Sus scrofa: one gene and its partners. The protein of the gene in region 5 interacts with the protein of the main gene of each other region in a biochemical or structural test. Links are inferred from orthologs where the notes say so. Each region holds a gene or a part of one and is shown on either strand. Other genes may lie near its edges.

Region 1 (4,656 bases), about 130 kb from region 5:
AGACTTGGATCTGGGGGTCGGTTGAAGAGAAAGAGACAAGTCCATTAGGGACTAGAGGTTTCAGGGCTACCCTCTAAGGAGAGAGTTCATCAGCTAAGGAATCACACGCAGGGGCCAGATGTTTTAAACAAAGCTGAGAGGGGGCGAGAAAGAGACAAGAAGAAAGGGAGGGAAAAGGAGCTGTTTGAGATAGAAAACCATTCTTTTGTTCAGGGCACACGACTACAAGTCAAGTCAAGGAGTCCAAATCTTTGGCTATACAACACACAGAGCCATGATGCTTTAATGTTTCCAAAGTGCTTTCCCATACATTATTTCATATAAAAAGAATTCTGTCCTACTCTCCACCTGGAAAACACTACTTCATAAGAAGATACTCAAGAATGTTGGCACAGGTGCCATTCTACTTTCTAAGTCAGGAAATACTCCTGAGAGGGATCAAGATTTCAAAAAAAAAAAAAAAAAAATCAGGAAATTATTGCAGGGTAGACAACTGGGAAGACTGTAGGTAGCAGTATGATTTGGCTAACCAGACTCTCCTTACTAAAAGGATGAAACCAAGAAGAGAGAGACAAGGCTTCAGATGCAGGAGACTAGAAACTATTTACATTCCTTTCCTCACCTTTACATCTTTCAAGATGAAGGGCTAAATTAGGAAGGAACAGAATGATGATTTTTTTCCTTCAGCCACACCCGAGGCGTGCAGAAGCCTGGGATCGAACCTGAGCCAGAGCAGTGACAACACTGAATTCCTAACTGCTAGGTCACCAGGGAACTCCAAGATAACAATTTTTATGCATAAAACAGACCATTTCATCTTAAGTCTGGTATACATGCTCATCAGCCATAACATGTTAGTGTGGTGTTTTAAAACCAGTCAGAGGAATTCCTGTTGTGGCTCAGCAGAAACCAATCTGACTAGTAACCATGAGGACGCAGGCTCGATCTCTGGCCTTGCTCAGTGGGTTAAGGATCCAGCTTTGCAGTGAGCTGTGGTGTAGGTCGCAGACACAGCTCAGATCCTGCAGGTCGAAGATGCAGCTTGGATCTCATGTGGCTGTGGCATAGGCTGGCTGCTGCAGCCTCGATTCTATCCCTAGCCTGAGAACGTCCATATGGGTGCGGACCTAAAAAATAAATAAATAAATAAATAAAATCAGAGAGATAAAGGTGCAATGCCAGATTCATTTTTCTCTGCCCTGCAGCTGGGGGTAAGGGGGAAGCTGATATGCCTCTCCCCCTCCATAATACAGAGGACAGTATAATACTGCTTCCATTTTGGCGAGAACCTATTTCCCAGCAGCCTGGCATATAGACCTGTACCTCGAGAAATGTCTCCAGGAACCTGTGCTGTTGTCTAGTCGTGACAAGGCCCAGACTCAGAAAGCAAAGTTATCCACCCTGGGAAAACCAATCCTGGGAAAACCAATCCTATTCTACTGCTCCCCTGACCAGAACAAAACAGGATTTTTCAATTAAGAGGAGGACCAAGAGTCAGAAGACTTGGGTTCTGGTCCCAGCTCTGCCAGCTATACGACTTTTAACAAGCCATGTAACACTTCTGTAGTTTGCAATTTCTTCACTTCTCAAATAGGGAAAATGATATCTGCCTTACCTACCTTACATATTGTCAAATGACATAATAAATGTGAAAGGAAACTGAATACCACTTATTCTCAGGTAAGATATCTGCAGTAATAGAATGCCAAGTAAATTCAGACGGCCCATGAGGCCCAGGAGGAAATGCCTGAAAGAAACTTTCTTCCCCAATACTGGGAACCCGCCACAGCCGCAAAGTCGGCTGGACACACAGGGCAGTAATATTACTGCAACACTCAGATTCCCTCCATGAGTCTTACCCCATTCCTAACTAGGGGAAAACTATCAGCCTGCAACACTATCAGCTTCTTGTTCTATTGTCAGACTAAAACCACCTGTATAGAAAGGGATTAGACTATCACTATCACAGCCCGGTCCCTAAGGACAGTGGCTCAGTGGTCTCATTAACAGCCACATTTGCTACCAGGTGGAATGAAGTTACTTTCTGAATGGGGAAGATGTCTGTCTGTCCCAATGCCAAACACCCTCACCCCTCTCAGCTTTCTGCTCCTTCTCCAGCCCCCTCCTCCTCACTCCTCAATTTCTCTTACGCTTTGGCTTGGAGAAGGCTTTCTGGTGTGTGAAGCCCGCGAAGAGGGACTGGCTGCAAACTCAAGTCACGGATGTAAGGAATGTGAGATTCCTTCATGGAGGGGTGGGAGGGAGAGAGGGGAAAGGAATGGAGGAGGAAGACAAGGCTGCCAAAGACAAGGCATGGGAGAGGAGCCAAGCTATGGCGCTTCGAGGGCGGGGGTTCAGGTTCCACCGCCCCTGCGCAGGCTGTCCCCCAGATGGTTCCCTGCTTACCCTTCCGGCCCGTCAATCACTGTCCATTTAAATACCACGTTGTGCACCCAAATCCCGGCCCCCCCCCCCGGTCCTCCAGCCGGCCTAGGCCCCCTCTCGTACTTCTTAAGGCTCCCACACTCCAATGGGCCTCCCCAACAAGGCACCCTCCAGCGCTCCTTTACCACCTCTGGACTCCTCCCTTCCTCCATTTTTCATCTTTACTCCCGTCCCTTCGCCTGACCTCCAAAATCTCGAACCCCGGTCCCAATCCCCCTGGGACATCGCCCCCTCCCCTCCCACGCCCTCCTTTAGGTGGGAGCCTGCGCAGGCGCCGTACGCACCGCCCTGGAAGCGGTCTGGACTCTCCGTGCCCCGACCCGTTGGAGTTGAGGCCGCAGCAGCCACGGGATAACCCTGGTGCCGGGTGCCAGCCTATCCTGGGAGGGGAAGGGGAAGGGGAAGGAGAAGGAGAGGGGATAAGGTTCCGACCACTCGTCGCCTTGTGAGACTGAGCCTTGGCCCCGCCCACCGCTGCTACGCAACCTGGCGGAAACTCGTCACCAAGCCCCGCCCCTTTGTTTAACTCAGCCTTGGGCTAGAAACCACGAGCGGCCAACGAGGAGAGTGAGGGCTAGCCAGGCCTCCGTTCCACACCGGAAGTCTTTATGGTCCCAGCGAGAACTGTATAGCCATTTGGGAGGAAGGACTCTATGTTCTTCCGTGCTTGAAAGTCGGGGGCCGAGCTGGAGGCCGACTCTCCCGGAGCGCGAGACTTCTATTTCGAAGGGTGCACCGGTTCCGTGCCCTAAAGCTGATGCGGCTTGGTGCGAGATCGTCGCTAGGAGGCCGGCCTGCAGTGTGACCTGCCGTCTGCCCGGCCCCTCTCCCGTTTCCAGAGCTGTGGTCAGCATCCCGGAGCCGATCTTATGACTCATAGTCATGGGAATGGATACTGTAGTCAACAAGGCGACCACGGGGTGGGGAATGAGGGAGTGTCTGATCGGAAAACTTTGATCTAGGGTGCTCAGCGGGTTGCCTGCCTCTCCTAGCTACACTCCTGCGGTATTTACGTCGACCTTCCGAACGCTCGTACAGTTCCTTGAAACACCTAAGGGGAGAGAGGGAGATAAAATGCTCCTCTTCTGGGGTTGTGGTTTGATTTCCTTAGGGTACAACACCGTGGCTGGGGGTGTGGGAGGGAGAGAACCTGAGCTCCAAGGAAAGTCAAGGTGGAGTCTAAAGCCCTCTAGGAGAAGGTAAGGGATTGATTAAGCAAACCAAAGCATTACAATCATATAGCCTCTTAGGCTAATCTGATATTAAGCAGTATTTATTATGGATATTCTCTAAGCAAATAGTAATACACATGTATGTACATTGTTTATATGTGATTGGTTTATACACTTTACAGAGCTAGCTACCTTTTGTTGATTATGAAACAAGTCTCAAAGGAAACTACAGATTAGGGCTTCTTCAGCCCTCAGGGGGGACCCTGAGATCTAGTGAGATAAGTGCATTAGAAACTGTGTCCATTAGAAACTGATTCCTTTGCAAACTGGTGAGGTGGTGCAACGCCTCGATTGCGTGCTGCTCTGGTGGCTCAGCCATTCCTGGAATATGCCGAAAAAAAAAAAAAAAAAAAAAAAAAAAAAAAAAAAAAAAAAAAAAAAAAAAAAAAAAAAAACTGATCAAACTGTGAGGGACTAATGCAAATGTTGTTCTCTGTGCCCCAATTCCATTACTTCCAAAGGATGTGGGTGTGTGTCTATTGTCTCCCGTGTGAGTGCGACTTTCTCCAGAGACCTTGACCAAGCTGGATAATGCATGAAAGATGAGGAATCTAAATCAGAAATAAAGATGCAGGTTAGAGAAATTGGAGAACAGGAGGAAACTGCCTGCTGTGTGCTAGGCACTGCTTTTTATATAACTTCGTTTTCTCGTCTGCAAGATGCAATCATATTTAAGAACTGTCGAGAAAAGAAGTGATGAGCCAGATTTCATACTTTCGTCCGCCGAATTCCAAAAACCTTTGGTTCTTTTTCCACTGTGTCAGGTCTAGGAGAGAAAAATCTTAGCGCCTTCTTAGCGCATTCTCCCAGATAGAGGAAAATTGGGACCTGAGGCTCCCCCTGGTGGTCTATGTTTTTCCTTGCGCAGCCAATCCTCCCCGAGGCTCCTTTAATATCTAAAGACCCACCCCGTCCCCGGCGCGTGAATCTCGGATCGCGGTTGGCTGTTTGGGGACGGCGGCGGGACGCGAGGGACGAG
Region 2 (4,782 bases), on a different chromosome or scaffold from region 5:
CACCCTGCAGCAGCTCCAGCAGGTTCCCCTTGGGCATGAGTTCTGTGATGATGTACACGGGGTCCCCCAGGGACGCCACGGCGTACAGTGGCAGGATGTGCTTGTGCCGCAGCTTCTTCATGGCCTGGATCTCCGACTGGAATGCGTGCTGGTGCAGGTCGTCTGCGGGGGGAGGCCGCTCAGGAAATGAGTGCCCCCATGACACCCGGGCCCCCCTTCTGACGCAGGGCACACAGCCTGGTCCCCACGGTTTACGTGGGGTCCTCTGTGCCCACCACCTGCCCGCCCAATGCCCTGGGCACCACCAGTACCGTCACTTGGTTCACACCTGGCCCAGCCAGCTGGGGAGCCGGCACTAGCTCCCTGCAGCCCCGGCCCCGGCTCCTGCAGGGGGTGGGCCCCTGGGAGGTTTGCGGGGAACCTCTTCAGATTCCTAGAGACCTATTTTAATGGCGTTCCTTTCATTTACATTAAGAATTTGAAATTCCCTTTTAAGGTAAATGCATTCAGGTGAAAGAAAGCCAGCAGCTGCAGCAGGTGCCCCATGGTCCAAGCCAGGGTGGCGAGTGGGGCTCGGAGCGCAGGGCCCCCCACCCCGGGGCCGAGGCCAGTTGCCCCCGGCCTGGGGCGCACTCACCTCGGGCAATCACCTTAATGGCCACTCGGACCTTGTCCTTCCAGAGCCCTTCAAAGACCTCCCCGAAGTAGCCGGCGCCCAGCTTCCGGCAAAGCGTGAACTCCTCCCTCGGCCTCTCCCAGTCGTCACAGTGGGGCAGGGGCTCGGGCTCATGCTGCAGGGGCACAGGGCCAGCCCTTCAGGGGGGCCCCACTCTAACCCCTGCAGGCGGACAGCCGCTGGCCTGTCCTCAAGTGTGGACCGCCTTCTGCCTGGGATGTGTGGCCCTGGCCCTCCTGGGGGCTGCCCGTGGCCTGGCCAATGCCTGCCAACACACCCCCCCCCACCTGCTCTGGGCCAGTGACATTGGCCTGAGTGCCACTCGTACAGAATTCCCGTCCAGCCCTTGGCCCCAGGCACCCACCAGCCTGGAGACTTAGGGCGTGGCAAGAGCTCCGCTGACCTCTGGCTGGCCCCGGGGACAGTGACTGGGCAAAGGGGGGGCACGTCCCCAGCCCACCCCCAGCTCTGCACAGTCACAGCTCCCAGGCAGCCAGCGTCCCCAGGCTGTGTCCCCAGTCAGTCGGGGTGTCAGGACCCACCCCCACCGCCACCCGAGGGTTCCGGCGCCTGAGGAGAGAGGGCTGAAGCCTGGGGGGGGAGGCAAGGGTCTGGCTGTGGCAGGGGCCCTACCTTCCAGCAGGGCGAGGTCAGCCTCAGGCCGTGGGACAGACTCTGGGCCTTGTGGTGCTCCACGAGTTCGGCCAGGCTGGGGAAGGACACGGCCTCGCTGAGGTGCAGCCGGCTGGCCCGCTGCCAGATCTTGTAGTGCCGCACGGTCTGCCTGTCCCGCACTGGATGGGGGGGCCCGCTCGTGAATGGGCAGAGAGCAGCCCACCCTCGGGGGGGGCGCCCCAACGGCGACCGGAGAGAACCCAGACCGACCCCACCCAACCCACTGAGGGATCAGAGTTCCCCGGGCAGGGCCTGCAGGTCCCAGATGCCCAGGGCAGTGGGGAGCCGGGCCGGGGGTGGGGGGTCTCTGCCTGCAGGAAGGGAGCCCCCAACTCAGGCGCGGGGGCGGGGGGCTGCAGTGGAGGAGGAGTACCCGAGAGGACGTAGTTGGCGCCAGGCTTTTCGCTGGTCCTGACCAGGAAGGCCCCCTGCTCGACGCCTGCGGCCAGCAGCCGGTGTGAGGCTTCTGAGCGAGAGATTGGGCCGCAGAACCACCTGCGAGGTGGGGGGTCCTGAGCCTCGGAGACCTTGGCTGTGCCCCCGCCCTGCCCAACGCTGGCACATGGCTGCCTGCAGACACTCACTGACCCCAAGGTCCCTTCTTTGCCCCTCAACTGACCCCCCAGGGTCCCAAGTGGCCCTGGGGACCCAGAAGTGGACACTACCTGGTGTCTCCTGGCTCTGGGGACAGAGCCACCCCCTTCTGTGGGGACAGCAGCCCCCCAACCTTGGGTGCTGTGCTCTGGCTCCCTGGGACTCACCCACATGCACCCACGCGCACACCCACCCACACGGTGCAGCCACACGCGCCCTTGCTCCCCCGCCCCCAGAGCCGGCACAGGGACAAGCCCTGGACTCCGGAGGGCAGGCTGGGGCCTGCGGTCCTTCCCCGGACACCTCTGCCTCCGTGCTCTGCCCTCTGCACTCCCCACTCCAGGGTCCCGTTAGAACGTGGGCCCCGGGGGAGGGCACGGCCGGCACGGAGCCCGCGGGCCATGCCCACCCCCACTGGTCCAGCACCTCTGGAATCGCTCCCATCCACTCTCCCCGCCAGCCTCCCGCCCCTTCGCACCTCTCGAATGTGCTGAGTCCCCAGGCCTCAGGGCCTTGGCAATGGCTCTGACCCCTGCATTATCACTGCCCAGGGCTTGGCCCGTCCTGTCTGCTGCTCTCTCTTCAGGAGGCGCCCAGTGGAAGGAGCGCACAGGAGGGGATGGGGTGCAATGGGTCTTGGGCACACGGCTGCCCTATGGCCCCGCCCACCAAGAGCCACCTGCCCATGATGGGGCAGCCATGCTGGTACAGGGAGCACGTCCGTGGCCCACACCCAGGGCGGGCGTGTCGCAATGGCCTTCCCGGCTCCTCTGACTAGGCCACCAGTCTGGTTTTGTGTGTTTGGAAGGTGAGTGGAGCTTTGCTCCAACAAAGGCCCAGCCTCGGCCTCGGCTTCCTGTGCAGACCCCTCACTGTCAGCAGGCGGCCCCCTGGGTCCTGACACCAGCAGGTGACTGCGTGGCAGCTGTGGCCTCCCTGGAGATGTCAGAAGCCCAGTGAGGGGTCCCAAGGCCAGGAGGGAAGGTCCAGCCCCACGGAGGGGCACAGGGAAACAAATCCATGGGCCCCATCCTTGGCCAGCTTGGTGCCCCTGTCCCCACCTGGAGCCCAGCCACAGGGGTAGAGTTGTCCCAACAGCCACCCTGCCCTGAGCCCAAGAGGGCCACCTGGAAAGGCTCCAAGGGCCACAGGGACACTCACGGCTCTGACTCCACTGTCTCCTTCTCGGCCAGGTAGCTTTGGGGTACGTAGCCCTCGGCCAGCGCCTGGCCCGCCGTGTCCAGCAGGATGGCCCACCACCACTCCTCCTCCTTCCTGGCCACGTGGAAGAGGTCCCCTGCCCGGAAGCTCAGCTCCTCGGCCGTCCGAGCCTCGAAGTCCCAGAGGCCCATGTACTTGGGGCCCAGGGCAGCCTGGCCCTGGGACCCCATGGCCGGTGCCCTGCCACCTTCACCCGTCCAGCTTCAGGCAGCCCTGGCTGGGAGGAGCCCGTGGGCAGGGCTGACCCTGACAGGCCGTCCCCGCCCCGCTGAGCCGCCACCCACCTTCGTGATGAGGTGGCTGGGCCAGCCACACCTGTGCCACCAAGGATGGCCTCCCCAAGCGCCCTGGGCTCTGCCCTGAGGGCCCCAACAGCCCCCACCCATCCCCCCACGCCTGGGCCAGGTCAGGCTGGGCACTCTTGCCCGCCTGCTGTGGGAAAGCTGCCCAGAGGAGGCTGGTGAGCGCTCAGCCAGGGGGCGAGGCGGGGCTGGAGGACCAGGGCCAAGGCGCTCCGCCCCAGACCTCCCAGGAGACAGCCAGACCCAGGGACAGCCAGCTGGCAGCTGAGTCTCTGCTGGACGCCGAGACAGGCGCTGCCTCTCCTGCTCCTCACCCGCGGCACCTGGCCCCACCCTCCAGCCCCTTGAGGGCTGAGGGGACTTCACATCATACGGCCCCTACTCATTGGCGCTTTCGCTTTTATTGAGCAGCGTGGGGACACCGATCCCTTCACTTTGAGATCAGGAGGGTATGTCTCAGGTTCATGAGTGAAGTGCACAGCCTGCTCAGGTCTGAGCAGGAGGGGCAGGCCCAAGGGGAGGGACAGAAGGGCCGGCTGAGCTGTTCGGCACCCTTGGGCTCCAAGGCCCCCCCACCGCAGTCCACCCTTCACTGTGAGTAGAGTGCTCTGCCCCTCAGGCCTTGGCCCTGCCTGGGAGCCGTGGGCCCACACCAACCAGGAAGCCAGAAGTTTCCAAGGCCAAGGTCCGAGCCCTCCCAGGACACCAGCACCAAACCTGTTGAGCTTGAGCCCATGAGACGGCCCAGGGGTGGAGCAGTGACCGCACCTGTCCTGTCTCCCCGCCCAGGGCATTCTCCCGCCCGCCAGCCCGGCCCCGCACACCATGGTTCCCAGGAAAGAGAGAGCAATCCCTTCCAGTGGTCTGGGAACCGCCCAGAACCAGGCGAGTCTGGCTCCAGCCCTCGCTCTGGGCCCTCCCAGGACAGGACGGAGGCAGGTCGAGGCACAGGCCTAAAGGCTCAGGCCAGACCCTCCCGCCCCCACTGTCCACCCAGGCCAGGGGGATGGTGACCTGTCCCCTCCTGCTCCCCCTGGGCTGCCTCTGCCTATGGTGGCCCCCACCCACCCCTCTGGGAAGCACCCCCCCCAATTTCTCTAACCTGGCACAGACTCTGTTCTCTAAGCAGTCCCTGGGGATTCATTTGTCTGCACCCAAGGGTCCCAGCCCCCTCGGTGCCATCCCATGGGTGAGACCTGCAGTTGTGATGCAGGGCCGACTGGCCCCTGCGGGGTCAGAGCAGACACTCCAGGGAACGATGGGCTGCAGGTGGCCTCTGCCCTCTGTCCCCTGGAGCACGGCTGCCAGGTGGGG
Region 3 (4,584 bases), on a different chromosome or scaffold from region 5:
AGGTTGAGAATTCCTGGCCTATTCTGTTCCTATGCCTCTAAAATCTCTATCTAAGACATTCCATCCAAATTCATCTTATGCCTATATCCACAAAATACATTATATAATCCTAAACAAAAAGCTTATTTCCCACATTCAATCTGCCAAAAAAGGTTATTAAAAGCCTCAGCATCACTGACTTTAGACAGCAGATGCCATCTTCTTTCTTTCTTTTTCTTTTTTTTTTTTTTTGCTTTTTAGAGCTGCAACCGCAGCATATGGAAGTTCCCAGGCTAGGGGTTCTAATTGGAGCTATAGCTGCCGGCCTACGCCACAGCCACGTGGGATCGGAGCCACCTCTGCGACCCACACCACAGTTCATGGCAACGCCAGATGCCCAGCTCACTGAGCAAGGCCAGGGACTGAACCCAAATCCTCATAGATACCACTGCACCACAACGGGAACTCTTGAAGGCCATTTTCTTGTCATCCTTTCCTTTTGGTCTTTAAGCAGAACCTGGGACCCAAGACAATGACAAAAGTGTTCAGTCCTCAAGGGATCTCAAAAGGAAACTGGCTTTGACAAAAAAAAGAACACAGTCCAATAGTGTCTGATCTCAGGTCACAATTCCTAGGTTCCAATTCCGGCTCAGTCATTGACTAGCTGTGTGACCTGGGGCAAGTTACTGAATTTCTGACCCTGTTTCTTTACCTGCAAAATGGAATTTTGCTTTGTTTTGTTTGCTTTTTAGGGCTGCACCCCCAGCATAGGAAGTTCCCAGACTAGGGGTCAAATCAGAGCTGTAGCCACTGGCCTATGCCACAGCCACTGCAACTAGGGATCTGAGTCACAAATAAGACCTACTCCACAGCTCATGGCAAAGCCAGACCCTTAACCCACTGAGCAAGGCCAGATATCAAACTTGCATCCTCATGGATACCAGTAGGGTTTGTAATCCACTTAGCCACAACTGGAACTCCCTAAAATGTAAATATTTTAATAAATGGAAATCACAGTAATTTCCTCACTAGACTGTCATAGACAGTAAACGAGACAAGGCACTAAAGTACTCAGCAAAGTACCTGGCACAGAATGACCAGTCGATAAATGTTAGCTATTAATATTGTATATGCTTAAGTTCAAGAAATTCTTCTGTGTGGTTTCCAAAGAAAAAGAGCTCAATGGGGGCTGGGCAGAACAAAGATTAAGTAATCTTTAAAAAGACGCAACTGAATCAATTGCCCTATGTGGAAAATGGGTACATGGCGGAAAGAACAATTACAATAGCCATGAACTTTCCACACCCCATCCACAAACTCTGGCAATCTTCACCTTCTCTCTTGGGCCAAGGATCTGACCTCCTATCTGTTATGAAAAGGTGGAGCTCAGTATTAAGGTAAGATCTGAGATTAAAGTTCTAACACCAAGATGTGGGGAAAGCTCAAACAAAACTGCCTGCCATTTCCAAATTTTGTAACCAACAAAACACATACACAAACAAAAGGTCAAGAATTGAGTTCCAATGATCATTTGCTGTGTCACTGCCCAGCAACGCAAAACCCCAGACACTAGGAAGGTGGTAAAAACTCGAATACATCCGGTTTAGGGTAAATACATGTTACATACCTATTCCCATCTCAGGTTATAATGTTATAAAACCAATCAGACTGAGAAAGACCTAGGATAATTTGTGGGCTTAAAGATTCCACACTCTTTTTAAAATTGGTATGTGTTAACAAGAGAAACTATTTCATCTTCCCATTTCGGGTCAGAGGGGATAAATCTAAATTAGGATTATTCTAAAAGGGCAAGTCTGCAAAGGGCTAGTTCAGGAGACTTTCAATTCATGTGAGACTAGCCTGAATCTAGTTTCAACTGGTCAGGAGGAAACTGCTTCAGCTTGGTGAGCGTGAAAAGGCACTAAGACCCTAGGTGCTGTTACACAGGTAACAACAGCCTCAGAATTACTCTGTACCTCACAAACTTCAAGTACCAAGTGCATAAATCCTCTTCACACTCCCCAAACAGCCCATGTTATGTATAAGACAGACATATCTAGGAAAATTCAGGCAACAACCCCCAACCTACTGAGCAAGGAGAGACCCTGCAGTATAAGACTGACAATGCTGAAGTCCAAGGAAAAATGAAGTTCCATTCACTTTCAGGGAAGGGATTGTTTCCATTGGCGTATATCTGGTTTATTTCCTGAAAAAAAAAAAAATTCTTTCCTCCACTATTCGCTTTGAAAACTACAACCCCTTAATTGTCAAAGACAGTCGCTGGACACCAGGATCTCCTCGGCACAGTCAGCCGGGCATCAGCTTATTCTGGGCTGGTGACAGGGGACCTTTCTTCTATAACCAAGGCACTTAGCTCACCACCTTCGTCCTCCGCGGGGGAAGAGGACGGTAAAAGTATTTTGGAAAAATGCCCAAGAAAGGAAAAAGCTGACCGGTTTCCTGAGGGTGTCTCCATCCCTCCCGGCCGGTATGCGGTGACTTCCTACCAAAGGCCACCAGGGGAGTATAGCCAAACCCGGCTCTCCAACACTGCAGGAAATGTTTCAAGCCTAAAAAGCCACTTGTAGGATTATCGGATTCATTCCGGGCACCGCTGCCAAGTGATGCCCCCGCAGTGCCAACATCCCCCTCAGCTCTTTGTCCCCACGTTGCCTGGCCCTGCACGGGCGCTAGCCCCACCCTGGGGCCGAAACAGTTCCCCTTCCCCTGGGCTGTCCTCCCAAGTCACACCCAGAGGCCTGGGTCAGCGGCTCCTCCTCCCCCACACACTCCCGCTCGTCCGTGGGAGCGAGCCGGACAGCGGGCTGCCCTCCGGCCACGGTCACTCCAGCCCGCTGCCCAAGTCCCTCGTGGGGGTCAGCTCTCGAGGAGCAGCCGGCTAGGCTGGGGAGTTCGGCGGCCCTAACCCCCGCCCGGGGCCTCCCGTCCCTTCCGTCCCTCACCGGGCGGAGGCTGGGCGGGCGACGGTGGCACTGGCGGGCGCGGGCCGCTGCTGTTGATGATGTAGTGGGAGACGCGCGAGTTCTCGGAGACGCTGAGCACATAGTCCCCGGGGCTGGTGCTCGAGTCCCGCACCAGGAACACCCCGTGCCGCTGGCCCTGCAACAGCGCCACCGCCTCCTGCCGGCTCAGCCGCCCCCAGTACCAGCTACTCCGCTCCTCCGAGTCGAAGTTGCCCGCCATGGCCGACTCCGCGCCTACACGCTGGGCCGCCGCCGCCGCGCGCGCCCCTCCAGTCCCGGCGCCCGCCGCCCAGCGGACCGGCTCGGGTCTCCGCTTCACAGCAGCGCCTGAAATGGCGGCGGCGGCCGCGGGCCTTCCCCACCGGAAATGACGTACTCCCTGCCTCCGGGAGGATGCCGGGAAGGGGACTGCCGCCCGCCATTGGGAGAAGGGCAAGGGGCGGCTCGCGCGCTCACTGCGCATGCGGACTCTTGGGCGTCGCCGCCTGGTGGGGACAGGGACTGCAGAGAGTGGAGAGGCGGCGTCTAGGGCCGAGGGGCGGGGCCTCAACTAGCAGTCCGCAGAAGTTTGTCTGTGCGCTGTTGGCCACGCGGTTCTGGCTAGTCCAGGCTTCAATTTCCTGGAAGGCCCGGTGCTTCTGGGCAGCAACTAGGAGACAGAATTGGAGTAGAAAAGGTGATGTGGCCTCAGGGCCTGAGTTCCCTGAGACGAATATTTTCTGAATATTTTCAGATCTGTTAAGCTCTTGTTTTCACTGATTCATTCAGCAAACAGTTGACACCACGTTTGCCTTTCGGTCGCAGAGGTCATCTAGGCTGGGCCCTTCCCTCGGGGAATTCTCAGACCCCGTGGGAGGAACCAGGAAACAGGCCATGACGAAGGGATGCCAAGCCATTTGATGGGGGTAAGGACAAGGGGCTCTAGGAACATAGAGCAGGGCCCCCTAATCCATGCTTTAGAGGAACCCAAGAGTACTTCCCAGTGGCTTGAGCTGAATATTGAATGGCAGTTGGGGAAAAGCATTCAAGACAAAGGGACCAGAGTGTGCCAAGTCAAGGAGACATATGGAGTCCTCTCTGTTGAGGCTTTCAAGTCATCTGCCCAGATTCTCTAAGTCTGGCCTTGGATATCCTCTACTCTCCCTGCCGTCACGATCACTGCTATCTCTATATTCCATATCTATATCTGTATTCCTATGACAGCCTGTCTCTGGTATTCTATAGTCTTGCTGCCCCTAATTGCATAGCACACATCTGCCAAGTTGTATTTTTCTCAATTATAGCTCTGAGTGTGCTGCTACCCTGTGTAAAACTTTTAACAGTCTCCAGGTGTTAGAACTCCCAGGTTATCTCTCTTATGGTTCTACCTGTTGTATTACCCATTGTATTGTAATCTTTCGATTTACAAGTCCGTGTTCCATGCTAGATCTCCTCAAAGGCTAGGCATCAAGTGTAGGAGGCACTCCATAATTGCCTCATAAGAATAACTAACACTTATTTAGGGAATTTTACCTGCCAGGCATAGTGCTAACTGCCCTTAGGTAGGTCTCTCATTTAATCTTCTCAACCTTCTGGATTGGTATTTTACAACTATTCCCATTTTACAGATGAAGCTCAGAAG
Region 4 (4,851 bases), on a different chromosome or scaffold from region 5:
GGCTGTGCATTCTTAGCTTACCTTCCAGACCCAGTGATGGAGATGAGTCCAAAAAACTGCATTTTAACAGTATCCTAGCCACGCTTCGGGCACACTAAGACTTACAAGCCAGTTAATTATTATTTGTCCTTCTACTTCATTCATTGGGAAGAAACGATGGAGAAATCAGGAGGGGAGGGAGGTGGTCAGCTTTTCGAGCCCCCCAGCACTTCTCCCTGGGCCCCATCCCCTAAATGATTCTCCCAGGTGGGGTCTGTTCTCAGAGCAGCTGTAAGTTGGGAGAGATGACCAGTTGTGTTTCACAACCTGACCTTCCCTGGAGCAGTCCCCTGGCACCTCCCACAGGCTCTGCCCACCAGTCAGTACCATCAACATCTCACATGCCACAGTGATCTCCTCCTGCCTTGCCACAGCCTGCGAGGCCAGACTTCTATGACAGCCCTTACAACAACCAAGGTATTTCCCAAATGACTCTAGCTGGGCAAACACCTATAAATGTTTTTGCATTAATGCACCGTGGGGCACCTCCTGGCTTTCTCTTGTCAACAGTAAACACTCACTGTTTCACCCAGAAGGAAACGGAGCCACATCTAAGTGCAATTTATGGCAGAAAGCAAACGAGTGATACTTAGCACTGAGTCAAATTATCAGAAGCTGGAAGGGACAGTGAGAGTTCATTAAGCCCCCACCCTTCCGGGCCAGAGAGAATGATGCTCAAAATCTCCCCACTAAGAGGTGGTCTCTTATTCAGTTCTTTGGGCAATCTAATCCTTGTCTCAATCCTCACCTTTACTTATTTTATATATAGCTGAATCCTTCCTGTCATCATTTACAGCCTTTTCTCTAGCTCTGACCTCAGGAGTTGGCTTTTCATGGAAAGGTTCTTATTATTAAGTCACTGCTCATCTTTGTTCTTATTAAGTCCTGCTGTTGGAGTATGGGCGGACAGGGCTTGCTGTGTCTTAGCTCTTTCTGCTCGGTTTGCCTTATATTTCTGTTTACAGGCAGCCCTATCTTTATTCATGTGTGGATCCAGAGTGTAAGCTCTAATTCAGGCAAGTACAAGTGGAAGAGCCTGCTTTATTTTTTGCAATAAATAAAAATTGGGTCTGATGAGGTGGTGAGGCTTAAACAGATGACATTTAAAAATTGCAATAAATTTTCCCTAACGCCACTTAAAAATCAGAACTGCAAAAACTTTTCTCAGCTGGCCTTGATGGCTTTAGTCTGACATGACTGAGCTTTGATGAAGCTTGGTCCCAGCGAGTCATTCAGAATTAGAATCAGTCTTTTTCTTCCCAATTTTAACTTATTTGCACGATAAAGCTCTCTGAATCACAGAGGTACACTGATAAGCATTTCTAAAAATTGTACAGGTGACTGAAGAGTCTTCCAAAGCAGCTCCAAAATTAAGCTCATGAAGGACCTGTCATGTTTAACGCATTGTTTCTCTATAAGATCTTGCTGCTGGGTTGGCCAAAAGAGTCCCCATTGTGCAGGTGGGGACCTGCTATAAAAGAAGTCACCAAAGGTGACCCACTAAGGTCGCAGCACATTCCCAACGAGAACTTGGTCTCCAAGACTTCCGCCCTCAGTTCTTTATATGAAATATTCTAAATACAAATCTTTTCCGATAGATCGCATTTCTATATACAAGTAGATTTAAGGGCACTATATCTCATTGTATCGTGCGTTCTTAATGCTGACCCTTTTCTAAAAGGACATCCCCACTATGTATGGTTCTTTCAATAACAATCAAAACCCTGTCGCAACATCTGGGGAAATGATCTTCCAAGTTTCATCATTTCTGGCATTCAAGAGTCAGCGCTGTGCCCAGAAGAAGCCCAGAAGATCAAGCACGGGGCCGCCTTACTTACAGGTGGAGAGAATCATGGCTGCACTTGCGCGGGGAGCAGACAGAACAGCCCTCAGGTCTTCGGCGGCGCTCCCGTCACAAAAACACATCTTTTAACTGAAATCATAGCTCGCCCAAGATGTTTCTCATGGGCCAAGTTAACCCCACCTATTTTCCTGTTCTGAAAACCTCAGAGAAGTGTGTGAATGGCAGCCCGATGGCCTATTTAAGAGGTAAACGCAGTAATCTCCATCCAGATCTCTGAAGGCAGCAGCTAGCAGGCTCCTCATTCCCAACTGTGTGGGTGACTCCAGCAACACCGTTTTCAAGAAATCACCAGATTTTGGTCAAAAGGGACCTTAAAAAAAAGAGCATGAATTCAAAGTGCTCTCTCTGGACCGAGAAGGAAACGGAGGCACAGATAGGTTAAGAGACGCAGTTAGCGGCAGAGACAGAAGTCGATGCTAGGTTTGGAATCGGCAAGTCTAGAATGCTCTGTCTTCCCACCCTCCTGTCCCCCCACCCAGCAGTAACACTTTAGGCATCATAGGAGAAAAGTTTGCTGGGGAGGGCGGGGAGGAGGGAGGACCAATCCATCCCCAGGTGACAGGGGCGTGGCCGAGAAATACAAAACATTATCAACAATAAAAATACACATAGGAGTTTCACTTCATCCCACTGAAAAATAACCAGAAAGTAACGAAAACTAAAGGCAACAGCTGTACTGAAGACACAGCAGATTCACAGTGCCCTTCCTACTTCCTGCCTTATTGATTAAGATCTCTTTTAAGCACTCTGGGTGGATACTATTTTTACTTCTCCTTTTGCCATAGCAATGGTTTTATACAAACACTTTTTTTCAGGTCCCAGTGAAATATTTGAAGATGTTTGAAGAAAATGTTTCCAAACATTGCCAGGAAACATCTGATCTTGTTTTCCCATCAAAAGTATATATAACTGGACTTGCCTGGTGGTCTAGCGGTTAACAATCCAACTTTGTCACTGCTGTGGCTCACGTTGCTGCTGTGGTGCGAGTACGATCCTTGGCCTAGAACTCCCACAGGCTATGGGGGGTGTCCAAAAAAAAAAAAAAAAAGTATAGGTAGGAGTTCCTGTTGTGGCTCAGCAGTGATGAACCCGACTCGTATCCCATGAGGATGTGGGTTCCATCCCTGGCCTCGTTCAGTGGGTTAAGGATCCGGCATTGCTGCCAGCTGTGGTGTAATTTGCAGATTCGGGTGGGATCTGGCGTTGCCATGAGCTGAGGCATAGGCCAGCAGCTGCAGCTCCAATTCAACCCCTAGCCTGGGAACTTCCATGTGCTGTAGGTGCAGCCCTAAGAAGCAAAAAAAAAAAAAAAAAAAAAAAATTAAAGGTAACTGTTAGGTCAAGGGCTATGCTTTCTCCTCTCTCTTCAAAGCCTCCAGCACTTTAAACAGGGTCCCAAGGTTGGAAGGGAAGGATGGTTGGAGGAGCGGGAGGCGTCAAGGTGATGGAGGGAGGGAAGGAGAAAAGTAGGACAATGACAGCAGGACACAGCTCGCACAGGGCCAGCTCCTTGAATGAGCAGCAATTCAGTGAGAAGGTGGGCATGTTTTTGTGATGGGGGTACACTTCAACAGGAAGACGAGGAGGAAGGTGACAGACTGTGACAAGACTTAGGATACATTTTTTTTTTTTTTTCTACTGCAAGGGGGGACAGGGAAGGACAGAAGACAGCCTTCAGGGGATGAACTGACCAGAATGGAAAGATGATTTTCCACAGTCATGTGAAGGTCCTGCTCGAAAGAGCCAGCCACAGCTTGTGTTCCTCAAAAGGTTTTGATTTTCTATAAATGCAGCATGTATACTTTTTTTTTTTTTTTTTTTTTTTTTTTTTTTGGCCATTTAAGCATTGATTGAAGGAAATGGCTCTGGTAGCACTGCTCCAGTATTCAGGCCAATGCAATCAACAAAAGAGGTAGATGGTCATTCACCTTGACGTTGCCTGCCCTCACCTCTAAATCCTCAGTGTAAACTAAGGAAAAGGACCGAGTTCCTGTCGTGGCGCAGCAGAAACGAATCCGACTAGGAACCATGAGGTTGCGGATTCGATGCCTGGCCTTGCTCAGTGGGTTAAGGATCTGGTGTTGCCGTGAGCTGTGGTGTGCATCACAAATGTGGCTCAGATCTGGCGTTGCTGTGGCTCTGGTGTAGGCTGGTGGCTACAGCTCCGATTGGACCCCTAGCCTGGGAACCTCCATATGCCATGGGTGCGGCCTTAAAAAGGGCAAAAAAAAAAAAAAAAAAGACGGAAAAAAAAAAAGGAAAAGGGAACGTCACCCTAGAGGACATGCTGTCTGCGTCCCAACAACCTGGTGTGTAACAGAGGAACCCCTCCCTTGTTAATGAGGCTTGAAGATGGTACAGGAAGTGGCCTTGAGTATGTCACATAAAAAAAAGGAAATCCAGTGTGGAGGCCTCAGTTCATTCTTGGAAAGCAAGAGCTGTAATAAATCCTGTGGGATCAAGTCCTGCTGTACCCAGCTTTCTTTGGGTCCCACATAAATGGATAAGACTCTCAGTGCTTCAAACACAGCCCACAGAGCTGCCTTTTTGATGTACTAAGGCCTGCAGGGAGTCTTGGAGGAAATAGGCAGCCAGGGAATAGTATTTGTGCTACCCTGAGGCCAGGCACCCATGTTCTGGCTTGTTCCTTGCTGGGGAGCCAGGGGGTTAAATTCCTGAACCCAGCTTTGCCCCCCTGTGGGCTGTTTCCTTGGCGCACTGTGGTTTAGCCACCTTAGCTGTTCCTGGGGGATGCTCGGTAGGATGCTGTTGACCAAAACAACCTGCTACTGGTCATTAAGTAGCTTTTTCACCTAAGAACTACTTATGGTGTTCACACAACACCCCACAGCGTGGCCGGGGAGGGGGGTTCATGGCCTCCAGAGCAAATGAACTTTTAGGGAAAAGTCCCATGTCTTCCTGGGCTTTCTACACCCACAAAACCAACA
Region 5 (2,785 bases):
TGCGGGGCAGGGTGGAGCAGAGACGAGTGGGGGTGATTGTATCAAGGGCGGGGAGGCTGGGTACGCCCTTCCTCGGATCCCTGGAGCGGCAGGCGGACCGGCCTGGCCAGTCCGATCGTCCTCAGGTGCTGGGAGGGGCAGAGCGAGTGTGGAAGGAGACCCGGAGTGCGTGGAGCAGGGACTAACTGGGCACCAGATTTCTGTGGGATTATCCATGTACAGCCTTCCAAGTCTAGAGGCCGGCTCCCTCTGAAGATGGCACTATTGTTCCAACAACAGGCTTTGATGGCACCTAAGACGGACACTTTTTTTTAAAGTTGTGAAACGTTTGAGAGTTTCAGTATTCTACCTCTTGGGGCCTTTTCTAACTGCCCCAAACGTGTTTTGTTTGGTTGTTTTGTTACTCCCAGTTAGTCGGTTGCCCTATACAGATTCCTAGTAAAACGCTTAAATGAAAAGGACTGTACCCTTTGCTTGTCTAAAGAGACTATAAGGAAAGTGGGGCTGGAGAAAGCTACAGGGGGCCAAGTAGGACTGTGGGGAGACAGAGAAGGAAGCATGCCATGGTAGCCATTCTCTGCTGTGGAACGGAGAAAAGGGCTGATCTGTCCACTCACTAAAGTTTGTCGTTAGACAAGAAGCTGCAAAACCTTGGCATCTTTATTCAGACATGTATAAAAACAAAACAAAAACTTGAGGGATAAAAACAGATACTCCCAGTTTCCCATTCAAAGGAACTGAGGTCTGAAGCCGGGTCCTCTTTTTCATCTCCACTGGAAGCTTCCCACTACTGAATGAGAACTGCTCCTAAAAAATGGCTCTGGGGACCGTCTGAGTCTGTCCCTTAGGCAGATATCATATGTAGCACACGAAGATTACGGTTTACACAGAGATGTCCAGTTATTTTTCCTTCTGTCCACCCCCTTACTCCCACTTGCTGAGATGAGCAGTCCAGGTGTAGGAGGAGGCTGTGGATATTGGGGTTAGACTTGATTCAGTGCAAACACAAGAAGACAATACCTCTTACTAGTGCTCTGACTTTCATCAGTTTTCTTTGACACCTTACACTAAGAGCATGGTGCATTGGAAAATTTTGAATCCTGGACCTGCTACTTGATTTACTTAATCTCCTTAAGGCTCAGTTTCCTTATTTGTAAAATGGGATAATGCCTAGCTCACAGAATTGGTGTCAAGGATTAAGTGAGATGGGTAAGTTTAGATGATACTTGGCACACAGTCAACGTTCAATGAACAGTAATCATTACTATATACTCCCAACCTCTTTCTTCACAAGATTTTTAAGCATCTCATTCTTTCTAGGGGGTTAAGAATCATAAGCCAAAAATCTCACTTTCTCCTGCCATTTTCCCTCCTTTCCTCTTCCTTAAAAGTCTGCTGGGAAACAAAGTCACACTTTAAAGCCTAGTCTCAACAAGTCAGAGTCTGAGAGAAAGGGATATGGGGAGGAATCCTTCATATCTCCAGGGAGTTCCCCTGAGAAAGTTGAGGAATAGGATTGGGAAAGAGCACAAAATAAGGAAAACTATCTCCTTTCCTGGGATTGGGAAAGAGAAGAAAGTGCACAGCTGGCTATATACCACAAGAACGTTGTGTCAACACGTTTAAGGCCTCCAAAGTTTGAATGGAATTGTCTGGGACTAGGGAAATGGCGCTGAGACCTGTGAGGGAGAGGGGCTAAAGAGAAGAGGGGTACCCTCTAGAGGCACTAGCTGCCATCAAATGCTCCCTGAGGTATTCAGGAAGCAGAGGTTATGTTCTCTGGGCATTAGCCTTGGGGAAAAGCCTGCTATGCCAGTAATCCGGGTTATCAAAGGCGGAGTCAGTGGCTTCTAAACTACGTAGAGTTTTGAGGCGGGCATAATGGACCTGAGGGCCATGGTGTCCAGGCCCCTGGAAAGCTCTCATTTCTTCATACCCTTGCTCAGCTGCTGGGCAGGCCTCCATGGCTGCATAATCCCCCCCAGGACCCCCTCCACCACGTCGCCGATTCATATATTCATAGTCCTCATCTGGAGTTGTGCTGGCATTGGGCATGGTGGGCACAGGGTTGAGTGGGCAACTCTGTGTGCTGCCCAGGGAAGCACTGAGGTCTGATCCCACATCCATGTACTCATAACCCAGCTCCTCGAGGGAACTTGGCCTTGGGGGACGAGCTGGACTGCACCTTCTCCTCCGGTTCATGTATTCATACTCCTCATCTTCTTCTTCTTCCTCGGTCCCCAGGACAGAACTGAGACCGACTGAAGAAAGGGTGCCTTCCCGGGAGGAGGTACCTGGGGGGTTGAGAAGAGCAGCTAAGTATGTGGAGAACTCCATGGAAAGAGGCAATGGGGTTGGGGGCGGTTAGGAAAAAAATGAATAGGGAGGGATATGATGAACGAAGACAAAAGGATTAAGGGGAGCCTGCAGAAGGAGGAGTAGAGAAAGATTTGAGGAAGCGACTAGGGAGTCAGGCACCTTTGAGGTGTGCGTCTGGCATGACATAACCATTGACATCCTCTTCCTCTAACCCTGGTGGGGACTGTGGGGTGACAGGAGTGAGCAGGCTGTGGCGCTGGGAATGGTAGGCACTGTCTCCTCGTGGCCGAGGGCTCCGGCTCCGGCTTCTACACATCGATACCTTCTCCTGGAGCTCAGCTTCAGAGCCTGTCACGTGGCCCTCCGATGACTCTGATGTCAGGCGTCCCCGTGGCACTGGGTGCAGAGAGGCTGGACGGGGGCACCGTTCACTACCCCTACAAACTGCAGGCTCCTAAGGAGGAGA
Region 6 (4,123 bases), on a different chromosome or scaffold from region 5:
CAAGCAGACCCTTCTTAAATGACTTTGTTTTTGCCTAGACTGCCCTCCAGGGTGACCAGTCCTGTTTTTGCTCCCCGTTACTGGAACGAGTCAACCTGGAAGCACCTCCCCAGCCCCTCTTCTAAAGTTTCGGGAGACTGAGGCTCAGGGCAGGGTGGGTGCGCTTCGGGCCACACGGCAAACCGGGAGCAGCCTGAGCCCAGACCACCTTTCCATCCCTTGCTGACGTGGGGCAGGTGGTGGCAGTGGGGGTGGGGTCCTCTAAAATCTTCATTTGCATTTTGGGGGGGTTGAGGAAATGACAGCTCCTCTACAGGGGCAGGAAAGGCTGGGGGTGCCCAGCCAGAGAGGGAAGTCGGGGCCCAGGGAGCAGACGGCGGGCCACGCTCCCCCAGCCAGCAAAGAGGAGGAGGATTCCTGTGCCAGGGTGCGGGGTTGTCTGAGACACAGACTCTGCTGGCACCAAAGCCATGGCCCTTCCCCCTTAACCTGGCTCTCTGCCCCCTGACCGCCTGCTGAGCCTCTCCTCATATGTGACCTCCCAGAAACATTCTGGAGTCCGAGTCCTTCCCCAAAGGCTGCCCAGTGGGGCTCTGAGACACTGGCAGGTCCTCGGAGAGGTTTTGGGGATAAGAGGGGGACCTCCACAGTTAAAAATGACATCATCGCCTCCAACCATCCCGGGACATGAATGAAGCAATGACCGCCTGCAAGACACGGGGCCAATGTCCCCTGAGGGACTGGAGCTGCCAGGAGAAACGGGGCGTGGAGATGAGGGGGTACTGACTGGGACAGGCTCCGGGGTGGATCTGGGGGCACAGCCTGGGCTCTTCCCTCTCAGGCCCCTCCCAGGAAGGAGGAGGGCGGCTGGATGGGGGGGACGGAGGGACATTGCTCACCTGCCGTTGCCGTACTTGATGCGAATGTCGCGGCTGCGGTTGAGCTCCTTGCCGTCCTTGAACCAGCGGTAGGAGGGCTGGGGGTTCCCGGCTGCTGCCTCGCACTTGAGCGATTGTTTCTCGCCCACCTGTCCCGTCTGGCTCTTCATCTTCTTCAGCTTGGGCCGGGTGGCTGTGGGGGTACAAGGCGGGAGGTGAGCGTGGTGGCGGGGGGCAGTGCCAAGCATGAGCAGCTGAGGCAGGTCCACTGTCTTGGGGGAGGTGAAGGGGGGAGCCTGGGGGCCCCCCTTTTGCCGTCCTTTCCTAGTCTAGATCGGCAAGCCTTTGCAGAGCGTCTGTGATGATGTCGGGGTGGGTACCTCCCTAAGCCTGGGGTTGTGGGTTCCCTCATGCCTCAAATGGTACCCGGGGCGCTCTCTACCTGAGCCGATAAAATAACGCTCAGAGTTCCCTGCGATGATCAAACCCATTTCCAGATGGGGAAAACTGTGGCCCGGCATGGTGAAGCCACTTCCCCAAGGTGATGGAGCTGGGATTCAAACCCAGGTCTCCGTGACTACGGCACTCACGATCTAACCCCTGCCCAAGACCCTAAGCCTCTGCTGGGCCCAGGGGATACAGCCACGGGTCCTGCCCTCAGGAAGTTCAGTCTGGCAGGGGCGTTGGACCCCGGCACTGACACCACAGCGTGGCTGATGGAGGCGGGGGGCTGCTGACGCCCTGAGGAGTGGCCCCAGCCTAGGCTGGACAGAAGCGCTCGCTCCGCTAAGAGCTGAAGGCTGGGCCAGAAGGGGAAGGGAGGGGGCCGGGCTCGGCAGGGTCAGCGCTGCAGTTTAGGAGAATCACGTGTGGTCTGGAGGAGGGGGGGCTGCCTTGAAGGGGTGAAGCGGGGTGGCTGGGCGGGGACGGAGCCTGGGCTACACTGGTGGGCGAGGCCCAGGCAGGGCTGCAGGGCTGCAGGGCTGCAGATGCCGAGCTAAGGGGCTTCTCCCACTCGAACACCGTTCTGTTTCCATGTGCCCTGCTTTCCCCTGCTTCACCTCCTGCTTCACCTCCTGCTCCCTATCCCCCAGCAACCTAAAAACAGGAAGAAAAAGTGCTCGGTTCCTGGAAAGGTGACGGCAGGGTGCGATGGTGCCCTCCCCCGGGACGGCCTCGAGGGGGGTGCCCGGGGCCCTCCCATGCTCTCCCTTGGTCCCTGAGCTCTGGAAGGCAGATGTCCCTGCTGACAGGAGGGTGAAGAGGAGACTCCAAAGAGGTCAAGAAACTTGGCCAGGGTCACACAGGCAACCACAGAGCCGGGAACAATGCCCAAGTGTCGGGATTTGCGATGTACCGGCTCAGGACAGGCTGGCATCTGCCTCTGCAGCCCTGAAGCCTCTCTTTAAGGAACAGAGGGCCGAGGTGAAGCTGTGGCCAGGGGGGTGTCTGAGGACCGACTGGCCCCATCTAGGCCCCTGGTGCTTCCCCCAGCAGCCCAGAGCAACAGCCCAAACTAGCTCTGGATGAAAACAGGACAGAGGGCCCGGCTCTGGATTGCGGGCCCCTCCCTGAGCCAAACCCAGTGCTGCTGCTTGGAGTGGGGAGGTGATGAGAGTGGGGGGTGTGGGGAGAAGGGGCTCCCAAAGCTTAAAAGTATACGTAGACTCAAAATACAGTACTTGCGAAGTGACTTTGTTCATTTTAGAAACCTTAGGAACATGGATGGATAAAAGAAAACAAAGCCACCCGTTATCCCAGGTCTCACAAGCAGAATACCCCCCCCCCACACACACGCCTATTTTTAAGCCAGTAACGTGCTCCTTTCATTTAATGAAACACTGCAAGCCTTTCAAGTTGGCATATTCAGTATTAATGTCTCCTCAACTTCGATAGGACATCCCTGTCCAGAAATGATGACTTGAGAAAAAGCCTGTCAGTTGGGGGAACATGTGGGGACAGACTCAACTGTCTTGATGGACTTCAGCCTGACTCCAAGTTGAGGTCTCGGAGCTTTTGGGGGGAACCCTTAGTAGCATCTCAAGGAAATAGTTATGGGGGAAACAAGTTCTACAACGTATGTATTTAGAGAGAGAATTTTAACAGATAACATAGTCACATGGTTCAAATTCAAGAAGTGAAAAAGGGTACATATGGCTTAAAAACAAGTCTCCTGACTTGTGACTGTAGCCACATGGCCGCCTTTCCAGGAGGCAACCGGTTTTCTTTTCTACCCCTTCAGAGATCTTCGATGCCTAGACAAACCCCGCTAGTATTGACATTTTTTCCTCTGTAGCCTTTTCAGGGTTGCATACTATTCCCATATGGGTGCATCATAATTTATGTAACCAGTTCCTATGGTGGGGCCTTCAGCTGACATTCTCCCCTTCCTTGCCACCCCTTCCCCCTTCCAAACGAGTCTCTTGGACCCTCCTTGCAGCCTCATCCAGGGTAAATAACCCGTGCACACTATCCTTTGCACATGTTCAGTGTATGCGGCTGTGCGGGCATGGAAGCTCCTGACTCAGAGTGCCTGGGTTCAAATCCAGACTTTGCTACTCCTTAGCTCTGTGTCTTTGCATCATTGTCTTAATCCCTTGGGGCCTCATTTGTTCATCTGTTTAAAAAAAAAAAAAAAAAAAACCCACAAGTGATTCAAAAGCAGCCCTGACCTCATGAGATGACGGCTGTGAGGAGCGTATGAGATAAGGCATGTAGAGCCTGGCAGGCACCGAACATTTAATACAGGCTGGCTATTATTATTCTGCACGGTTATTTCCTAAGGCCGTCTTCCTAAAAGTGGAATTGCTGTGTCAGAAGCGCACGCCGTCTCCCTTGGCTTCACACGTTGCCAAATTGCGTTCTGGAAAGGTCACGCCAATTTGCACTCCCACCGGTGAATGACAGTGCCTGTTTTTTCCACACCCTTACCAACGCCAGATATTATCATGCATCCAATCTCTGCCAATTAACTAGGCAAAAGATAACGCCTCTTTGTTGTTTGGATTTGCATGTATTTGACTCCTGGTGAGGCTGACCGCTTTTCAGAAGTGTGTCGGCTTATTTTTGTGAATTGCCTGTTCTTGTCTGTACTGGTGTTCTATTGGGTGCTCGTCTTCTCGATCATCTGTAGAGTCCTTTCTAAATATTAAGGCTATTCATGTTTTGTGACAGGGTTTTTTTGCCCCGGTTTCCTACCGCTAACCCTTTTTGGTGTTGGATGTTGGTTTATGTATGTTTTGGAC
Region 7 (4,123 bases), on a different chromosome or scaffold from region 5:
ACGCTGCCACGAGATCAGAAAGTAAAAGAGAATAAACCGGAGCTACTGACACCCCAGGACAGACGGAAAATGAGTCAGGAACCCCTTGCTGCTGCTCCCTCGCCCGTTCGACTAGCTTTGCTCTTTCTGGAATGATCTCTCAGGAGCACCTATCTGTGCGGGTAGGGCAGTCCCAGTCTAGCGACGGTCGGTCGGGGTAAAGTCAGGCTAACAGGGGGAATTCCACGACTTAGTAACTTCTGGAAACTCCCCAAGAGAAGGGTTCATTTTGGTTTTTCGTTTGCTTTGATTTCATCAGCATGAGAACGGTAAATGAAGACTCACCTCCATCATTGCACAACTACAAATGTAATAAAATTCATGGAGCAATTTAAAAAAAAAAAAAAAAAAAAAAAAGGACTCACCTCGGCATGACAGCCCTCGACCGTCGATAATCTGTTTGCAAACCCCGCAGACTCTGGCTTTTTTAAAGGTCTTGTTCTTAAAACTGTGCAGACTCGTCGTGAGTTCTTCCGGCTGGAAAAGGAAAAGGACAAAGGCTCAGCGCTTCCATTCGGTCCACCTGCTCTTCCTTTTTCCGGCGGAGTTGGGGAAGCACCGCAACAGGAACCTGACCAGGCGACCAGAGGAGAACAAAACACCACCCTGCCAAGGCCGGGATCGGGGGCGGGGGGCTCGGGTACCCGAGGGAGGCCCCCAGGCGCCCAGCTTGTAATCCAGGGGGCGAAGGGCAGCCAGGCCTCCGTGACGACGTGCTGCGCTTCCAGACTGTCGCTTACAACCATCCCTTCTGTGACACGCACCCCCACCCCGTGCCCCCGCCCCATCTCCCCCACCCTGTGCCCCCCATCCCCCTTCTTCACACTTTTTCCTCCGGAAGAAACAATTATAAACAACACGATGGTGCTCAGAGGCGGCCGACTGGCCTTTCTGGCCCCTTAGTCCCTCTGAACAGATATACGGAAGGGCGAGTGGTCACCAGTCCGGGGTGACAAGAGAGGCAGTTCCTTCTTAAACCTGGTAGAGCATCGGATCCATTTCACACACTGGCACTGGGAGGAGACGAAACAGTCAGCCACCAAACCCAAGTCTGCTGTGCCAAGGCGCACAGCTGCATCGGAGGAGCTTATAAAAATTCAATCTGCCTTAGAAACCAAACACCAGCCATACTGCCATTAGCTGATGGGTGACAGTGCGCTCATTCTGTGATGACTGGTACGCCATGCATGCACAAGGCCACTGCTCACCCCCAGAGAGTTACAATTCCCCAAGGAGATGGAATGTTACCCAGAACAGGAGACAAACGGCACTTCGGAAAATAGTTTGACAATTTTTTTGTACAGATTTTTAAACCTACACCCATGCTATGACCCAGCAATTCCTCTCTCACAGACACTGAAAAAGAAATATGGGAGTTCCCACTGTGGCTCAGCAGTAATGAACCTGACTAGTATCCATGAGGACTCGGGTTGGATTCCTGGCCCTACTCAGTGGGTTAAGGATACAGCATTGCCAAGAGTTATGGTGTAGGTCACAGATGTGGCTCAGATCTGTGGCAGAGGCTGGCATCTGCAGCTCTGATTTGACCTGGGAACTGCCATATGCCATGGGTGTGGCCCTAAAAAGACAAAATAAAATAAATTTAAAAATAGATAAATAAGGAGTTCCTGTCATGGCGCAGTGGTTAACGAATCTGACTGGGAACCATGAGGTTGTGAGTTCAATCCCTGGCCTTGCTCAGAGGGTTAAGGACCCAGCATTGCCGTGAGCTGTGGTGTAGGTTGCAGATGCAGCTAGGATCCCACATTGCTGTGGCTCTGGCGTAAGCCAGTGGCTACAGCTCCGATTAGACCCCTAGCCTGGGAACCTCCATATGCCGAGGGAGCAGCCCTAGAAAAGGCACAAAGACCAAAAAAAAAAAAAAAAAAAGATAAATAAGAAACATGGCCACAAAGACACCTGCAAAAATCATCAAAGCCACCGTATTTAAAAATGCCCCCAACAAGAGGTAACCCAAATGCCCATCAAAAGGAGCCTGGATAAACAAACCACAGAAGTCATAAAATGGAATGCTTTTCGGGTGTACACAAGAGCAAGTTACTAGTCCATGTAGAACATGTAGCATCGTGGGTGCACATCAAAGGCATTATTTTGCTGAATGAAAGACATCCGACTCAAGAGCACACAGAATGATTTGCTTTACTGGATGTTCATGAACAAGCAAACAAACCTATCTAGAAACTCAGAGGCAGGAAAAAATGAGGTGAGCGCTATAATGGCACCAAATTCCTACCTGGAGAAAGTTTCTGGGATGCAGAGAAGGAAGGGGGAACCAGTGCACAACATGGGTTGAAGCAAAGGAATGAAAAGTTTAGGCAGAATAAGCCAGCAAGAGGTTACTTGCCTGAGCAGCAGGGAACAGATAGCTGCGCAGAACCCAGGATCTGTGGAAGGGCTCAGCACAGTCCTGAGGGGGGTGTGTGTGGGTGTGTGTGTGTGTGTGTGTGTGTGTGTGGGTGTGTGTGCATGCACATGTGCTTGAGGAAGCTACCTAAGGGGGAGGAAAGAACCACCAGAGAGGATTAGCGGAAACAGAGCTCAGGGCTCCCACAGACCTGGGAAGGGTGCCTCTTCCCACACACAGACCAGAAAACCTCAAGATGCAGGGAGTATGAGCACAGAAGACACAGAAGCACCTTGCCTCAATCATGGGAAATGATTAACTCTAACCTGAGCACTGCTCCCGTTCTGCCTGGCCTATCTAGAAGGGATTATACCACCTCCAAGTAATTTAGTTGCATTCCAGAACAAAGCCCAAGAACATCTGGGGAAAAAAGAAACAAAGCCCAAGAATATCTGAGGAACAAAAAAATATCCAGCACCCTAATAAGGTGAAATTCACCTTGTCTGCTATCCAATCAACAAATTATCTGGTATACAATCAAAAAGCAGGAGGCGTACAAGGCCAGAGGAATACACAATCCACAGTGAGAATAATAAATTAATTAAAAATGGCCCTGAACTGACAAGAATAGGCAAACAAGATACTAAGAGAAGAATTATAACTGGATTTCATTTGTTCAAGAAGGTAAGTAGGGATGGAAAGGTATAAAAAGATGCAAACCAGACATCTATACAAGAAATGTAAAATCTGAAATAAAAAAATACACTGGATGCAATTACTGGCAGATTAGACACTGCAGTAGAACAGATGAATGAACTTGAAGATATCACCATAGAAACTTCCCAAAATAAAGGACAGAAAGAGAAAAGACCATCTAAGTAAATTAGGAAATAAACAGAGCATCAGTAAGCAGCCTCTGAAGGAGGACGAGTGGATGGAGGGATATTTGAAGAAATAACAGCTGAAGCTTTTCCAAAATAGGAAGAAGACTATAAAATCACAAGCCTGGGAAACTCAACAAACCTCAAGCATAACAAATGTGATAAACTATACCAAAATGCAAGATAATCACATTGCTCAAATCCAATCACAAACAAACCCATATACAAAACAGAAACAGACTCACAGACTAGAAAACAAACTTATGGTTGTCAAAGGAGAAAGGGACGGGGGATAAATTAGGAGTTGGGGATTAAGATATACACACTACTATACATAAAACTGATAAGCAACAAAGATTTACACTATAGCACAGGGAACTATACTCCATACCTTATAATAACCTATAATGGAAAATAATCTGAAAAAACAATATATATAAAGAGGAAAAGAACACATTATATTCAAGAGACCAACCATTAGCATAACAGCAGATTTCTTATTCAAAAAAAAGAAAAGTTAAGGAAGAAAGAGAAAAAACAGTGCAACAAGATAAAATACTGAGGAAAAAAAATGCCAATCTAAAATTCTGCACCCAGTAAAATATATTTCAAAAATGAAAGCAAATTAAAAATTTCTTAAGATATATAAAAGCTGGAGTTCCCTTTGTGGCTCAGCGGTTAACAAACCCGACTAGGATCCATGAGGATATGGGTTCGATCCCTGGCCTTGCTCAGTGGGTTGAGGATCCAGCGTTGCTGTGAGCTGCAGTGCAGTTAACAGACACGGCTTGGATCCCATGTTGCTGTGGCTGTGGTGTAAGCTGGCAGCTGAAACTCC

What was found.
Region 1: the proteins of ERBB3 (region 5) and RNF41 form a complex in vitro, tested with the Homo sapiens proteins (2 studies listed by BioGRID). The link is inferred for Sus scrofa from reciprocal best matches to the Homo sapiens genes ERBB3 and RNF41.
Region 2: the proteins of ERBB3 (region 5) and PTK6 form a complex in vitro, tested with the Homo sapiens proteins (2 studies listed by BioGRID and IntAct, with this or other methods). The link is inferred for Sus scrofa from reciprocal best matches to the Homo sapiens genes ERBB3 and PTK6.
Region 3: the proteins of ERBB3 (region 5) and CRK form a complex in vitro, tested with the Homo sapiens proteins (2 studies listed by BioGRID and IntAct, with this or other methods). The link is inferred for Sus scrofa from reciprocal best matches to the Homo sapiens genes ERBB3 and CRK.
Region 4: the proteins of ERBB3 (region 5) and TXK form a complex in vitro, tested with the Homo sapiens proteins (2 studies listed by BioGRID and IntAct, with this or other methods). The link is inferred for Sus scrofa from reciprocal best matches to the Homo sapiens genes ERBB3 and TXK.
Region 6: the proteins of ERBB3 (region 5) and NRG2 form a complex in vitro, tested with the Homo sapiens proteins (2 studies listed by BioGRID). The link is inferred for Sus scrofa from reciprocal best matches to the Homo sapiens genes ERBB3 and NRG2.
Region 7: the proteins of ERBB3 (region 5) and TNS3 form a complex in vitro, tested with the Homo sapiens proteins (2 studies listed by BioGRID and IntAct, with this or other methods). The link is inferred for Sus scrofa from reciprocal best matches to the Homo sapiens genes ERBB3 and TNS3.

What each region holds. Positions count from the first base shown.
Region 1 is NC_010447.5:21,621,662-21,626,317, forward strand, and holds the start of RNF41 (E3 ubiquitin-protein ligase NRDP1), read right to left. Parts: upstream 2,929-4,656; 5' UTR 2,730-2,928; intron 2,461-2,729; exon of another isoform or gene 2,151-2,460; intron 1-2,150. UniProt on the Homo sapiens protein: Acts as E3 ubiquitin-protein ligase and regulates the degradation of target proteins. Polyubiquitinates MYD88. Negatively regulates MYD88-dependent production of pro-inflammatory cytokines.
Region 2 is NC_010459.5:62,543,336-62,548,117, forward strand, and holds the start of PTK6 (protein-tyrosine kinase 6), read right to left. Parts: upstream 3,101-4,782; 5' UTR 2,119-3,100; coding exon 1,725-2,118; intron 1,471-1,724; coding exon 1,310-1,470; intron 792-1,309; coding exon 638-791; intron 163-637; coding exon 4-162; intron 1-3. UniProt on the Homo sapiens protein: Non-receptor tyrosine-protein kinase implicated in the regulation of a variety of signaling pathways that control the differentiation and maintenance of normal epithelia, as well as tumor growth.
Region 3 is NC_010454.4:47,682,297-47,686,880, forward strand, and holds the start of CRK (adapter molecule crk), read right to left. Parts: upstream 2,901-4,584; 5' UTR 2,136-2,900; coding exon 2,069-2,135; intron 1-2,068. Other genes in the region: uncharacterized protein LOC110255905, read right to left, coding at 3,416-3,612. UniProt on the Homo sapiens protein: Involved in cell branching and adhesion mediated by BCAR1-CRK-RAPGEF1 signaling and activation of RAP1.
Region 4 is NC_010450.4:38,044,960-38,049,810, forward strand, and holds the start of TXK (tyrosine-protein kinase TXK), read right to left. Parts: upstream 2,918-4,851; 5' UTR 1,966-2,917; coding exon 1,878-1,965; intron 1-1,877. UniProt on the Homo sapiens protein: Non-receptor tyrosine kinase that plays a redundant role with ITK in regulation of the adaptive immune response. Regulates the development, function and differentiation of conventional T-cells and nonconventional NKT-cells.
Region 5 is NC_010447.5:21,492,898-21,495,682, reverse strand, and holds the end of ERBB3 (receptor tyrosine-protein kinase erbB-3), read right to left. Parts: intron 2,774-2,785; coding exon 2,479-2,773; intron 2,295-2,478; coding exon 1,771-2,294; 3' UTR 643-1,770; downstream 1-642. UniProt on the Homo sapiens protein: Tyrosine-protein kinase that plays an essential role as cell surface receptor for neuregulins.
Region 6 is NC_010444.4:141,696,128-141,700,250, forward strand, and holds part of NRG2 (pro-neuregulin-2, membrane-bound isoform), read right to left. Parts: intron 1,072-4,123; coding exon 900-1,071; intron 1-899. UniProt on the Homo sapiens protein: Direct ligand for ERBB3 and ERBB4 tyrosine kinase receptors. Concomitantly recruits ERBB1 and ERBB2 coreceptors, resulting in ligand-stimulated tyrosine phosphorylation and activation of the ERBB receptors.
Region 7 is NC_010460.4:49,003,192-49,007,314, reverse strand, and holds part of TNS3 (tensin-3), read right to left. Parts: intron 517-4,123; coding exon 405-516; intron 1-404. UniProt on the Homo sapiens protein: May act as a protein phosphatase and/or a lipid phosphatase. Involved in the dissociation of the integrin-tensin-actin complex. EGF activates TNS4 and down-regulates TNS3 which results in capping the tail of ITGB1.